Linked DNA regions of Alligator mississippiensis. The protein of the gene in region 1 interacts with the protein of each later gene in a biochemical or structural test. Links are inferred from orthologs where the notes say so. Each region holds a gene or a part of one and is shown in the gene's direction. Other genes may lie near its edges.

Region 1 (4,331 bases):
TCCCTTCCAGCCCCACTTACTCTGATTCTGGGAAGAGTTTGCAACATATGAAGAGTAGGGAGAGAGAGGAGTCCCTGGTGGGGGTGGTGGGTGGTATGAAGCTGTGAGAATTCCCTGGACAACAAAATATTCCGAATCCTGTGGAAATGTGAAGCTAAGGGTCTAGTTTAATTGCACATGGGTTTTTTTCTTTCATAAGGGTGCAGGGGGCATGAACCTAGATTCTTCACCTATGTGCAAACTGCAAGCTTGTTTTATTTTCTGTCTCAGTCCTTAGCTCACAGGAGCTGGAAACATGCCTGGTCTAGAAAGGCAAGGCATTGGGGGAGTTGCTTGCAGTGTGAACCGAGGGGATGGGCAGCAGAGGTGGATGCAGATGCTGGTAAGAGACACCATCCTGCCTTCAAGTGCCCTTGGCATATGGCTGTGGCAGGTTGGGTGTTGGGCTGACCATGCTGGTGCGTGTATGGCAAATGCCCATGGGGTGGATGGCAGGTGCCTGCCAGTTGCTTCTAGTGGGGATCAGCCCTAGCTGGGCAACTCCTAGCCCGCATTTACCTGCTGAGGGGGTTTCTTCCTATGTCCCAGCTGGAGCAGTGACATGAGCACTGTATCCCAGGCCACTGTGGCACCAGGCCGGCTAATCCCAGATGAACTAAGCCCAGTGTTGCCAGGTCTTAAATATTTAATAATTGTATTGGAAGCTCAAAATGACTGTATTTGCTGAAAAACTATGAAAATATGCAAATATGCCTTTTTATTTACTTTATATTGCTCACTACAAGTCCCAGCGCATGAGTGAAAAGTGGGTCAAAGTTGAAGCATTTCTTTATTTCAAGGCAACCGGTCATAAGGAAGTGCTAGCAGCAATCCCCAAAGTCAGCTAAGCCCCCTGAGAGGAGTGATTTGGGTTTTGCATATGCTGCATCAGTGAGCTAGCTGCCTCAAAAATTATGACAATCAGGACTCGTAGTAGAGATGGTATCTTGTATTAGACCAACGAGATTTTTGCAAAAAAAAAAAAATCTTTAATTTTTTGCAAACACCTTGTTGGTCTAATAAAAGATATCATCTCTACTACAAATCCTGATTGCCTTTTCCTGTAGATCAATACGACTACAACCTGGATACCTACAAAATTATGATGCGTCTTGAACACTTCTACCGCTACCCATCGCGTGCCAGCCACGGGCTGAAATGACAGCCCACCCCACAACACCGACCCAGCAGCTACTAGCAGGACTCGCGCAGGCGCAGACCACGACACGGAGACCAGCGGCGCATACGCAGGGTGGAGGGCCTGCATGACCTACGCGTCCGCGGGGTGGCGGTGCTGCGCATGTGCAGGCGGCCGCGGCTCTGCCCCGTGACGCCGGCCTACAGGAAGAGGAATTATTTATTTATTTTGCGGCAACGGAAGTCGGGATGAATTTGGGCCCTCCGCGCTCGCCGTAGTGCGGCCTGTACTAAGCCCCTCTCTGCGCGGGGGGGGGCGAGTCCTCGCCCGGCCCGTTCCCTCTCGCCCCGGCCGCTGTCGGGGGGAGCCCGGCGGGCGGTGAGTAGCGGCTCCGGTAGCCGCGGGGACGGGAATGCGTGGAGCCGGGCGGGCGCGGGGCAGCGGCCGGTGATGGCAGCGCGGTGAGGAGGGAGCGGGGCAGGGACCGGCAGCGGCGGGGCCGGCGGCCTTCGCACTTGCGCCCCTGCTGCCGGCGGAGGGGCCTGCGCGGGGACCCCCGGCTCCGCCCGGCCAGGCCCGGCCACTTTCGCTTTCGCCTGGGAGTGGCGGGTGCCTCGGAGCGGGGCTCCCGCCTACGGGAGGAGCAGCCCGGGCGACGCCGGATGCCGCTTTCCCGGTAGGGGAGGCCGCTGCGCCGCATCTCCGCGCCTCGGGCCTAGTCGGGAAGTTTTGTTTGGACTCCTGCTTCCCGCTCCGGAGCCTGTGAAGCACTTGAGCCAAGGCGCAGGCCTGCAGCTTTGCTGACCTTGGGCACGACCAGAAAAGGGGCCGTCTCAGGTTGGCGTCTTGTGGCACCGTCTGGTTTAGATGTACCCAGAGAGGGTGGGTGGCAGCCACAATCCTCCGCCTCCTGCCCGGCCACGGGAGCGGGTAGAGCCGACCGGGAACACTTCAGTGGACCATGCTTGTACAATAAGTGCTGAGGCAGGGCTTCCCGAACTTGTTTTTCCTCAGCATGACCCCATGCATGGCCTCTTGCTCCCAACCCACAGCCCCCACCCCCGGGGTCCCAATTTAGAGTCGCAACCCACAGTTTGGGAACTGCTGTGTTAGGGATCCTTAGTGAGCTTGTAGACAGAGCCAAGATTTCTGTTTAAGCCTTATCTGAAAGCATCCCCAAGTTTTCTAGTGTAACTATGTTACATAGAGATGATTTATTAACTCCTTTTTATTTGTTGTAAAAGACTAGCTTTACTAAAGTACATGTTTGTATATATTTTTATTAGAATTAACCTTTTTTGGAATATTCTAATATTATAAAAACCTAAGAGGGGCAATTGGCTAGTATACTTACAAAATTCTTCCTCTAATTACTTGCAACTTGTGTCCCTCTTTTGGCACCTCGTGTTACTGTCATGTAGAAAATACAGTATTCCTGGATTCCTGAAGCTATTTTTCTTTGACACTATTAATGCTTGTAGTAGAAATGCAATGGTTAGAATGTTTCTAAGTACTAATGGATCATTTCTATTTCTTGATTAAAAACAACAATTAATACTAACACAAGCTTTATTCCTGTTTTATAGAACCTCGTAAAGCACCTTGATGTCACTGCCAAGTTGTGACATGATATGAATATGTAGAGAGGTAGTAGTAAAGTTAGTTTATGCTCAAGAAAGTTCATGCATCTCTGATTTGGTTAGCCAATAGAGTGCATCTCTACTCTGCCTTCTGCGATCATATGGAGGCCATGGATGTTATTGATTTTACTCTTCGATCTGGATTTATGCTTGTGTAAAAAGAAGACTTTTTGATTCCTGAACTGGAGAAACTTAGTTTCATTCAGTTAGTTACCCTGAGTTTGTTTAAAAAAAAACCAAAACCAAGCAAACATATAATATTATTACTTACAAACAGTAGGAGAGTTTTACAATTTAAAAAGGTAATTAAATACATAGGTTTACAATTTCATTTGCATAAATCCACCTGCACGGATTCCCCACTGAGTCCAGAGAGTTTCTGCACAGGACTGCACGATCCGTTTTAGGATCAAAACCTTAATTATAGCTATAAAATTATAATTATGTAGTTGGATGTTTCTCCATTGGACTGTTAAGCAATCCACAATTCTTAGGAGATTGGTTGTGTGTTCCTTCAGTCTTGTACAGGAGGTATCCACTTCTTTAAAATTCTCTGTTACTAGGTGTTTCCCTGTTTTGTATGTCTTTCTGATCTTGCATTTCTAGGCAGAGTTGCTTCCTATCTTCAGAAGATTAACTACTTATTTCCACCTTTTGTTTAGTACATCTTACATCAGGGGCAGGCAATTATTCTGGGTGGAGGATCGCTTACTGAGTTTTGACAAGACATCAAGGGCCGCATGACAGGCAGCCGGGGCAGATAAATATTAATTTTCTAAATTTTTTAGGGGTCCCACAGGCCGGATAGAAGTGCCTGGCGGGATGCATCTGGACCACGGGCTGCATTTTGCTCACCCCTGTCTTGCATAGTCTCCAGACAGGACTATTCTTGTGTGTGCAGTGTTTGTTCAGCATAATAGGGCTATTTTTATGTGTCATGTAGGCATAATGGTGATACAGTCTTCTCTGGTTTTATTGTCAGTCTTTGTCCCTTCTTGTCCCTCTAAATTGCTTGTTACCTCTTTCCTATTTTGTGTCACTTCAAAAACAAAACAAACAAAGACAAGAAAATCCTAGATAAATCCTCTGGGGTGTGATAAAAGCTTACTTTGCTGAGTTGTTTTGCTCCTCCATAGAAGGAGCAGCAATTTCCCACAGACCTCCTAATTCCTAATACTTGATACTTGGTAACCTTCTGAACAGTGGTACCTGTCTTCCTGGCTCTGGAGCCAGTTTCTTCTAGTCATTGGAAGAAACTTTTGCTTTGGTTTACACTTAGTTCACCTTTTTAGAACTTTTTCTTTTCAACTCTACGTCAGACTCTTGTATCAGAGCTTAAATTAGACAAGTATAATCAGTTTCCACATGCAAACAATTCCTGTTTTATTTTTTTATGACTAGCTTTCATTTTTGGAAGAAAGATGATGCTGAAACTGATCAGATCTGAGGTGTATTTAGTTTAATAATGTCTCCATCATTGTCCAAAAGATGTAAAAAGTCTCCAAAATAAGCAG
Region 2 (4,331 bases), on another chromosome or scaffold:
AGACCGTGGTGGGGAGTGCGGGGCACCAGCAGCGCTGGGAGGGGTTGTGGGGGGGACTTTATTTTTTATCACGGATTTTGGGTTTTTAAATCAGAGTATTTGCAATTTTTAATCAGAGAAAATTAGGATCCCTGATCACCACACTTGTGCCACTGTACTTGACACTACCCACTATGATGTTTGAACTCTTTCTATGACTGGTTAAACTGAATGTATTACTATGATTATTCTTTTCTCTTTGTTTTGCAGTTTAGGTCTGTGTATTGTAAATCTTCTACACTTTATTTTGCAACTTACTGTATTGGGTACACGCCTGCAATTTACGAACAAGGCGAGCACAAAACCCCTTTAATTTCCTATTGATTTAAGACTGTATGTAACATTTAAAATAAAGCTCTTAGTATTATCACACATTGAGATTTAGTTATATGGTCGTTATACAGTTACCCACCATAAGTCTCCAGTTAAAGATAAATAGCAAGTATTGCTCATCCTCACTTTAGTCCCTGTCAAATCCCAATTCAAAACCAGTGAGAACTGGGTCATCATCAACCTTGAAGTGTTTCTTTGTTTTGAGGCAAGTGGTTGGAAGAAAGCACGGACAGCGAACCCGAAAGTTCAATAGATTTCATAGATTTGTAGGGTCGGAAGGGAAGATCATCGAGTCCGCCCCCTTGCCCCCGGGTCAGATGACCCCAGCCAGGTACTTGTCCAGTCTCCTCTTAAAGCCCCCCGGGGTAGGGGAGAGCACCGCCTCCCTTGGGAGCACGTTCCACACTCTGGTAACCCAGACTCTTAAGCTGGTTAAGACCCCCTGAGAGTGACCCGGGTTTTGCACATGCTGCCTCAATTAACTGCCTCAATTGTGATAGACTTTTGAACATTTTTAGTATTATCTGTCTTACAAGGGTTGAAAGTATTGTACAAATACGATAATTACGCTACATCTGGCAACACTGACCCCAGCATACCTTGCAAGCCAGTTCCCCGTCTCAGGGTGGGCAGGCTCAGCGCGGTCTGCTCCCGGGCGGTGCGCTGCAGTGCCCCCCCGCCCCCGCCCGGCCACTGCAGGCGTTCCCAGAGTCAACAGTTAACGTCTGTTCAGTTGCTTATCGGTGCCGCGTACACAGTCTAAGTTGTGCAGACTGAATCGATTCCGCCTCGGGCTTGTTACTGCTTGTACTTGGCGGAGGGCCGGGACCCGGTAGCAGAGCACGAACCCACTTACGTGTTGCAGGGCAGGGGCGGTGTTTTGTTTCGGACAGGGTCACAGGAAAAGGCCACGTGGATTTCACTTTGGTTCAGTCTAAACACGGCAAGTCGGTGTCTCCACGGTTGTCTGCCCGCCGCCCCCCATGGCTTTTCGTGCCGTGAGCGGGGAGCTACAAGCAGACCCAACCGAGCCCGACCGTGGGGGCCTGGCGACGTCGAGCGCCCACTCTGCGCATGTCCAGCCCCACGCGCCAGATGCCCGGGCAGCCTAGCGAAAGGCTCTCCCGGGCGGGCCGCTACCAACGTGCGCGGATGGGGAGGGGGAGTGTTCCCGCGCGTCCCCCCCATCTCTCATTTTGCCCTTTCTCACTGCTGCTCAGCACCCACTGGGTGTCTCTCCTTCCCTTCTCCCACTTTACCTCCAGGATCAAGCGCGATGTAACCCTCTTTCACGTTCCCCCCCTTCCTTGAGCAGTGGTTCGGCCCGGCCAAGCCCGGTTCCCCCTACCACAGCCGGCGGTGGTTGTCTGCCCTTTTCCTGCCCTCGCTGTACGTGTGGCGTCAGGGACGTCTGCACGCTCCCCGGCGTCACACCGCCGCGCGCCGCCAGCTGACTCCTCATCCCCGGAAGTGATGCAGAGGCAGGGAGGGAGGGGGGAAGGCAAGCTGGAGTATCGCTGGGAGCCGCGGAGGGTGAGTGAATTGGACCGTGTCTCTTCCCGTCCGCTTCAGGGGGCGCTGCCTGTGGGGGGCCGGGCCGGGAGGCGCCCCGACCCCGGGGGCCTGAGGCACCGGAGTCGTCCTGGAGAGCCCGGCCCGGGCGCTCGAGTAGCTTGTGCGTGTGTGGAGGAGCCGGGGCGGGGGTGGAGGGGAGATCTCCCGTTAGGGCCCGGGGCGCTGTCCCCCCTCGGGGCCGGGGCCGCCCGCCCTGCGACCCCGCACGGCCCCCTTCTCTCTGGCGCCCCCGGCTGCACCCCCTCCTCCCCCACGCTCCCCGACCCCGGAGGGCGCCTACCCCAGAGCTGCTGCCAGGGCCCCGGGGGGTGATGCGGTCCCCGCCGGGGTGCCCCGTGCCGGCCTGGCCTCGTCAGGATCCCTCGGGGGTCCTGGCGCGGGCTCTGCTCTCCTGGCTGCCAGGATCCCCGCGCGTGTCCGTGCCCCTCGTGTCCCTCGCTCGCGCCCGGGGCGTGAAGTTGCTGCTTGTCCTCAAACTTGCTTCTGTGGCCGCCAGCGCTGTGGGCTCCCTTCCCGGCCTGCGAGGGCTTTAATGGGAGCCTCGGGGTGCACCCCCACCCCATCTTGTGGGCTTACGGACCTGGCTGAGAGCGCGGCCGGACTAGGCATTTGTAGTAAGTGCAGCACCGTGCCTAGACTCCTGGCGGCTCTGGGCAAATTTTTAGTATTGGGCTCCCCTTTGCCACAGATAATAATGATGATAATGATTATTTTCACCACTTTCAAGCCTCCCTTCTGTCTGGGCCCTGGGCAGCTGCCCGGTTTGCTGATGCCTGTGTCTGGCCTTGAGTAAATGTTTCTTGGGAAGCACGTTTCTTTCCTGCTGCGGCTGTGAGAGGGCAGGGTAGGGTGGGAGGCTGAGTCTTGTCGTATAGCTGAGCCTCCTGATGCTCTGGACACAATGCTCGTGCCCTGGATTTCCATGGGGAGCCACTTCTTCCCCAATACTTGTTTAAATCATTCCTTCTTTAAGTTGCGGTGGGAGTGCAGGCTTATGTATTTATTTATTTTATAATCTTGATAGTTTGTTTCTGAATATCAAGTTCCGATACTCCACACTTGTCTTGCAGAAGAACTTCACGCTATGCCACTGTTGTGTTTTCTGAGGAGTCCCGAAAGACTTGTGATCGATCTTTCAGTGTCAGTTTCATTCTGTCTTCCTTATTCATTCCCCAAGTTTGGGGAGAAAAAATTGCTAAGCACAAGCTGAAGGTATCTTGTCTAATGCAGGCTTCCCATATTTGACTGAGAACCTTCCCGTATCTAATTAAGTTAATAAGTGACCACTAGGTTTTTGGTATTGGATTTTGGGCTAGCTGTGAAAAGAAACAATCTTTTGTGTGTTTTTGATTCTACATTGTCATAAAGTCTTTGCTGCAGCCTTTCTGCTTGTTTTCCAGGTGCTACTGTGAGGTGCTTATTGGGAGAGGAAGGAAGGTCTTTTGACTAAAATGAAGACTGGGAACCATGAGACAGGTTCTGTTCTTGGCTCTACCTTGCTTTGCCTCATCTTAAATGGACAGTTACTTATTTCACAGGGTGTTTAATTGTCTGTGAAGAGCTTTTACAGCTCCCTAAACAAAAGACAACTTGAGGTTTGAAACAAAGTATTTTCATAGGTGAGAGGAAGGTGTAGAAAAGCAGATTGTTAGATCCTTGTTGACAAAGTACATTTAATTCTGGTTAGAAACTTGTGAAGAAGTTCAGTTGAAGTCTTCTAAATTCTAATAATTTCATGGCAGTTAGTGCTGCTATAGAATTTGCTGTCCATAAATCTATTTAAAGATTACTACATCATTAAGAGTGTACTTACAGCCCTAATATTCTTTGACAGCTCAGCTTGATGTTCTGGTAATCCATTTTATCTTGAGACCTGATAAACCTTCAATATCATCTGTAATTTGCCTGTAGATCTCAGGAACTGCATCTGGTGACTTTCATAGTAGTTACTTAATTTGTCTCCTATTCCATGCTGTCTTGCTTTAAAGAGCTTGGGAGGTGGATGGGTGTGTGTGAGTAACTTTTGGTGTTATCAATTGCATCTTGCCGACTGTGGCACTGAGCATTTAAACGTAAAGGACAGTAACAAGATCAATAGGAGAACTAGAGGGTAGACTTGACCATGTGGTGTAAAGCAGCTACTTCTGTAAACGGAGGGGGAAAATAGCTTCCTTAAAGAGGGAGTGTTCCAGGGAGAGAGGCTGTCAGACTATCTCACTGGCCTGTAATACAAAGGGACACAGAATGACCTCTGGTGTATGCATCAGTGATGATGAAAAAAGGAGATCTCCCTTGTGTGTCCACGGGAAAGATAGACCTCAGTCCTGCACAATGTGTTCTGTGTGTTGGGATGGGAGGGGAATAAGGGAGAGATGGGAATGTTC

Evidence for each region.
Region 2: of the proteins of CUL2 (region 1) and DCUN1D3, one has a biochemical effect on the other in vitro, tested with the Homo sapiens proteins (2 studies listed by BioGRID, with this or other methods). The link is inferred for Alligator mississippiensis from reciprocal best matches to the Homo sapiens genes CUL2 and DCUN1D3.

Annotation. Positions count from the first base shown.
Region 1 is NC_081828.1:195,034,426-195,038,756, reverse strand, and holds the start of CUL2 (cullin-2), read left to right. Parts: upstream 1-1,407; 5' UTR 1,408-1,555; intron 1,556-1,835; exon of another isoform or gene 1,836-1,853; intron 1,854-1,931; exon of another isoform or gene 1,932-2,014; intron 2,015-4,331.
Region 2 is NC_081836.1:46,088,001-46,092,331, reverse strand, and holds the start of DCUN1D3 (DCN1-like protein 3), read left to right. Parts: upstream 1-1,815; 5' UTR 1,816-1,905; intron 1,906-1,949; exon of another isoform or gene 1,950-2,047; intron 2,048-2,966; exon of another isoform or gene 2,967-3,423; intron 3,424-4,331. UniProt on the Homo sapiens protein: Contributes to the neddylation of all cullins by transferring NEDD8 from N-terminally acetylated NEDD8-conjugating E2s enzyme to different cullin C-terminal domain-RBX complexes and may play a role in the cell cycle progression by regulating the SCF ubiquitin E3 ligase complex, after UV damage.